2 linked regions of the Kluyveromyces lactis genome follow. The protein of the gene in region 1 interacts with the protein of each later gene in a biochemical or structural test. Links are inferred from orthologs where the notes say so. Each region holds a gene or a part of one and is shown in the gene's direction. Other genes may lie near its edges.

What was found.
Region 2: the proteins of PAT1 (region 1) and LSM2 form a complex in vitro, tested with the Saccharomyces cerevisiae proteins (2 studies listed by BioGRID). The link is inferred for Kluyveromyces lactis from reciprocal best matches to the Saccharomyces cerevisiae genes PAT1 and LSM2.

The regions. Positions count from the first base shown.
Region 1 is NC_006042.1:2,529,489-2,533,428, forward strand, and holds the start of PAT1 (deadenylation-dependent mRNA-decapping factor PAT1), read left to right. Parts: upstream 1-1,459; coding exon 1,460-3,940. Other genes in the region: RQC2 (Rqc2p), read right to left, coding at 1-740. UniProt on the Saccharomyces cerevisiae protein: Activator of decapping that functions as a general and active mechanism of translational repression and required for P-body formation. First decay factor recruited to mRNA, at a time when the mRNA is still associated with translation factors.
Region 2 is NC_006042.1:854,830-857,090, forward strand, and holds LSM2 (Sm-like protein LSM2), read left to right. Parts: upstream 1-1,226; coding exon 1,227-1,514; downstream 1,515-2,261. Other genes in the region: GDI1 (Gdi1p), read left to right, coding at 1-822; KLLA0_F09229g (uncharacterized protein), read right to left, coding at 1,638-2,027. UniProt on the Saccharomyces cerevisiae protein: Component of LSm protein complexes, which are involved in RNA processing and may function in a chaperone-like manner. Component of the cytoplasmic LSM1-LSM7 complex which is involved in mRNA degradation by activating the decapping step.

The DNA.
Region 1 (3,940 bases):
ACATTGTGTTTAAACTCAAGACACGAAGAAGATGGATCAATACCAATAGCTTTCAACGAGTTTTGAATCAAATCACTTGATAAATGTGGAGCATGAACAAATAAAAGTTTTTGAATAGACGGAACAGATGCTTTTCCCTTGAGTTTACCTTTTTTAGCCTCTCCGGGCACAATTGTGCTTTTGGCTTTAACGTCGGCTTCTTTCAACCAATCTGCTATTTCATTTTCGAAATATTCCTTAGGATCAGGAACCGTAGTTGAAGTTTGGTTAATTTCTGCAAAGTTGGCCATGTCATAAAATTCACCAACTTTCATCGAATAATCATCGACAACTCTCTGTAGTAAAAGAATTTTTTGGTCAGCATCCAATAAAAGCACATTTCCGGCACTGAAAAATTCTAAAACAAGGTAGTACTTACCATCAGCAAAAGTAAACACAATTATTCTGTCATTTGGGATCTGCTTAACTGCCGTCAATCGTTTTTCTTTCAAATACGATCTCAATTTGGAAACAAACCACGAAGGAGTCGGGGGAATCGGCCTGGTAAAGTCAGTAGTATGAACTCGCAATCCGCAATCAATGACAACGTTTAACTTGGAATCGGGTTTTCCAAACTTTAATAAGAATTGCCTGTTTGAGTCAGCAATGTTATAGATATTTCTTAAGCGAAATCCTACAATTTGATTCTCCAACTCTTTGGATATCAGTTGCAAATCTAACGAACTCAATCTCTGTTTCATTTTCTAGTATCAAATCCAAGATTATAGTTTAGATATTTCGTACTCTCCAAGTTGCAGTTAAGTCCACTTTACCAGTCTGAGTTGATTCTTTTCGAGCACTATACTTGATTCAGATCTTCATACAAATCAGTATTTTCACTGCTAATCAGATTAAAATTATTAGAACTTGGTCACTGCTATTAGATCAGATATCTTTTATTACTTAGGTTTAAGACTAAACTGCTAAGCTGATATATTTTCCAGATAGCTGTACCTAGGATGTTAGTAGTATATGTCATCTTTGTCTATTCGCAATCACTTTATATATGCTGCTAATGAAGGAAAGAAAGACTACGTACGAGTTTGTATTGGAACTTTCTAAACTACCATGTTGAAAAATGTCAAATATTTGAAATCACATGACCTGAATTTCAAATTTTGAACTAGAAATCCTTAATATGTATATCATCTTGCACGGTGAAATTTTTCATCAAACAACAACCCAAAAATGTAATTCACTTAACAAGCAAAGTAGTTTCTATGCTCAAAAATAAGTGATCAGAGATATTCAGAGACCGTTTGTTGGAAGATTGCTTGAACGAAACGCAGGCAGGTAGCGACTTAAATCACATTACTTGTGTTTTTAAGAGAATATAATAGGATTTGTCGACAATTCTGATCTAGAAATCGATTTTTGCCCAATTAGTATAGGAGTCCTTATATTCCTGAATCACTGAACGATGTCATTCTTCGGTTTTGACGCCACGGGCCGAAAACCTCGTGAGAGGAAACAGCAAGGCGAGGAGGATTCTTTAGATTTCGAAGAAACGTATCAAGGCTTGGGTGATTATGAGCCAGAGGAAGATGATTTGCTCAATGATGAAACTTTTGGTACTGGAGCGGATCTGGGTACAGATTTTGATTTTGGTTACGGTAAAGGGGAGCTTGGCGCTGGTTCAGGTTCTGGTAGGGCACCAGCACCAGCTCCTGTTTCTTATGCATCTATTGCAAATGCCAAAATGAACAGACAAGCAGACTGTAAACCTGGTTTCGAACAATCGCTGGACATGCAACCTATGGAATCTTTATGGGGTAACAGCTCCGGTAATCAGCAACAACAGGTGCAACCTCAAGCCCCTACACAATTCCAAGCCCCACCACAGGTTCAACAGCAAGGTGCACCTAATGTGGAAGGATTGGCCATTCAATCTTTAGACAGACAACAACAGATGGCTATGCCGCCTCAACCTGGATTCTATGGTATGCAACCTCCGCAGAACCCTGGCTACGGCTTTATTCCACAAGGGTTCCCTCAAGGTCAATACCAGCAATTCCCTGGGCAAAATATTCCCCCTGTTATCCCTAATCAATTCGGTAATGCCGGATTTCCTAATCAACCTGTTAACCCTCAGGAACAATTCCAACAAGTACCACCGATAATGTACAATCAAACACAAGGAAACATTGCACATCATATGCAACATCCGCAGATGGCTATGCCACCAATGCAAAATCAACCTCCTGTTCAGCCCCAGCAGCCCCACCAACAGCAGTTACCTCCCCAATACTTGCCTCAACAACACCAACAAGATCAGCAGCACCAACAACAACACCAACAGCAACAAGTGTTCCAACAGCCTCACTCCGTTGACACTGCTGCTAGAACCCAAGCTGTCCGTTCTACTCAAGATTATGAGCATTCTAACTCTCCAACACCTGTGCCAACAGAATCAGAGCAGGTGCCAACTCCACCTCATACACCTAGAGAGTATCGCCGTGGTCCAAGGAGGTTTGGCACCCAAGATCCTTTGACTGATGAAGAATTGAGACGTCTTCAAATCAGACAATCGAAGGTTGACAAAATTCTCAGACACTCTGGTGTAATGACTCCAAGAGACAAGGATTTTATCACCAGGTATCAGTTATCTCAAATTGTCACTGATGATCCCTACAATGAGGATTTCTACTTCCAAGTTTATAAAATCATTCAAAGGGGTGTCACTCCATCTGAATCTAATAAGGATTCTATTGCTAAAGCATATTTAGAGCACTCGGGTCACAGATTAGGAGGTCGTTACAAGAGAACTGACGTCGCGTTACAGAGAATGCAATCTCAGGTCGAGAAGGCTGTTACCGTTGCGAAAGAAAGACCACAGAAAAGTAAGGGTGGGTTGGATAATGCCAAAGAGGGTGTCTTGGGTAAAATCTCAGCTACTAGGAACTCAAAAGCTCCAAGAAAGCAATTACAAATCCCAACTCACAAAGAGGATTCTCCAGCGTTGTCTTCTCAATCAAGCTCAGCCCTAGATGAGGTGTCTGAATCTTTGCAAGGCGTGGATATCAATGCCAAAAGAAGAAGATCATCTTATGCTTTGAGTTCTTCAGTGGACCATCGTACAGTTTTATCCCGTTCTGGTGGCCGTAAGTTCATTTTATCATTGATTGAAACTGTTTACGAAGAAGTGCTTGAACTAGAAGCTCAATTGAGATCCGGTCAACAGCCGGACAGTTCAAAATTATGGGAGGCGCTACACGTTGAGGACCACGGTTTTGACGTTTCTCCCTTCATTTCCATCTTATCTTTCGACAAAGGTATCAAGATTATGCCACGTATTATGAATTTCTTGTCAAGAGAAGAGAAGATTAAGCTTTTCAACTGCTTCTTCAAGGAACTTTCTCATTTGAATGTCATTGTCATATCATCGTACAAGACTACTCCACTTCCTACTAAAGATCAACTGAAGAAGATGGAATTGTTCCAATCTGTGTTTTTGAAGATCATTGTTTCGTTCTTATCCAGTTCAGCAGAGTTTTTGGAGGTAATGAGTCTACTAATAAATGTCATTCAGAATAATAACGTTTCTTTCATCACCACATCGCGTATCGGTTTGAATTTGATTACCGTGCTCATTTCACGTGCTGCTTTGATGAAACAAGATGTTAGCAGGGGCAAACTGTTGTCTTCTGTGGAAGTATCCACTTGGAGTGAAGTCTATGATAGGCTATTTACTTCTTTAGAAACAAAATTGACTGCAATTTTCCCAACACCTGAATATATGCAACACGCCATTTCAGTTTATGAACAGGATTCTACTCAGTATGATCAATCTTACATCTGGCAGTTCCTTGCATCGCTTGCTTTGAGCGGAAAATTGAACCATCAACGTATATTGATTGATGAAGTGAGAGACGAAATTTTCGAAGTCATTTCAAAGGCTGAA
Region 2 (2,261 bases), about 1.7 Mb from region 1:
GAGGTATACTACAAATTTGGCTTAGGAAATTCAACCAGAGAATTTATTGGACACGCAATGGCCCTTTGGACCAATGACGATTATCTGCAACAACCTGCTAGACCATCAGTGGAAAGAATTATCCTATATGTGCAATCGATTTCCAGGTTTGGTAAATCTCCATATATTTACCCTATGTATGGGTTGGGCGAATTGCCTCAAGGATTTGCTAGATTATCAGCTATTTACGGTGGGACATACATGCTAAATACCCCAATTGAAAAGGTTTTATACTCAGACGATGGTAAATTCGAAGGTATTGTCACCAAAGAAGGTACTGCAAAAGCACCAATAGTCATCGCAGATCCAACATACTTCCCTGAGAAATGTAAAACTACAGGTGAAAAGGTGATCAGAGCAATTTGCATCACTAAACAACCTGTTCCTAACACTAGTAATGCTGATTCTTGCCAAATAATTATACCACAATCACAAGTTGGAAGAAAGAACGACATTTATATTGCTACTGTCTCTGACGCCCATAAAGTTACTTCGAAGGGTCATTACCTCGCCAGTGTATCAACCATCATTGAAACTGATAAACCTCATATCGAATTAGAGCCGGCTTTCAAAATGTTGGGCCCAATTGAGGAGAGGTTCATGGGTATTTCAGAAATCTTTGAACCGATCGAAGATGGCACTAAAGACAACATTTACATCTCTAAATCTTACGATTCCTCATCTCACTTCGAATCCATGACCGACGATGTCAAGGATATCTACTTTAGGATTACTGGTCACCCCCTTGTTTTAAAGAAGAGAGAAGATGTTGCAGAGGAGTAAGTGAGAACTACGAGATAACCGTGATGCTAACTTTTGAAAATATCGTACCTTCACGTACTTCTACGTACTTTTACGTTACTTTCTTGTTTCGTTACAATCTTTATCATTATCATTTTATTTTTGTCTATTTACTATCTAGCCCCACATATTAGCTTGAATGTTTTGGCAATAGTTTTATTTCAGCAATCGACGTAAAAATATCCCAGCTAGTCCTCTTAAGTCCAGCAGCTTCTCTACTTCTACATATGAAGTTGTGTATGTCAATTTTGTACATGTATCTTTTTTTTTTCCTTCAACATGAAATTGTTTAAAACAATTTCATGTTGAAATTTGACAATACAACTACAACACATTCAAAAGTCAAATGCATGGACCTCTGAACCAAGGCCGTACTGTCCAGAACCATGCTATTATTTTCATTTTTCAAGACCCTGGTTGATCATGAAGTCAAAGTCGAACTAAAGAACGGTATTGAACTAACAGGTACTCTAAAATCAGTCGACCAATTTTTGAACTTAAAATTAGACAACATTTCGTCCAACAATAATGAAAAATATCCACATCTATCAAGCGTGAGGAACATGTTCATCAGAGGTTCTACTGTGAGGTATGTACATTTGAAGAAATCTATGGTGGATACCAACCTACTTCAAGATGCAACCAGAAGAGAATTAATGAGTGAAAGAAAGTAAACGAAAGAAGCAGCGAAAAACAGGGTTCCTGCTGCAGAAAGGAATAATTTATAACTGTTAAATATCATTCGAGTCTACCACTCTCACACTATTCACATATGTAATAATAGAACACATTACCTATCATGGTGGAACTCCCAAGAGTTTCTTCTCACATTTTGATCGGAGGTGTCCAGTTTCATTGCAATAAGAACATTTAATGTTGTTAGCTTTAGACTTTCGTTTTCCAAATTTGGCTTGTTTAGGAGTTCTTTGTACTGGAATTAGAGCATATTCTTGACCGTCTTTCTGAATAATCTCAATTTGTTTCGAAATCATTTTTGAGAACTTCTCTTTATCCAGTTCAACGGATGTAATCATCGAGATGAGCTCATCAACGTTCTTCAGTTTGTTCTCGTATTCCTCTTTTAAAGACGGGAGAGTCGACTGCTTTTTTTGGGACTGAGATAACACTAGTTTGGCTAGTTGATCAAGCGCCTCAGACTGTTTAATAATCTTGTCTGCATCCGCCATGATAGAGCTTGTGGTCACTGGGGTTATCCGATACCACACTTCCTACTCTGGTGGTCCTGAATTTGATCCTATCTCTCTATCGTTCTTTTTTCACTTAGATTCCATAGTGAAAGTGAAAATAAAAAACGACATCGGACAGGGACGGATGTGACCCCGTGAGAAGAGGTGGAGTCGCATTTCCTTACGACTATATGCTCATTTCAACATACGAGATATACATATATACCATGCAAC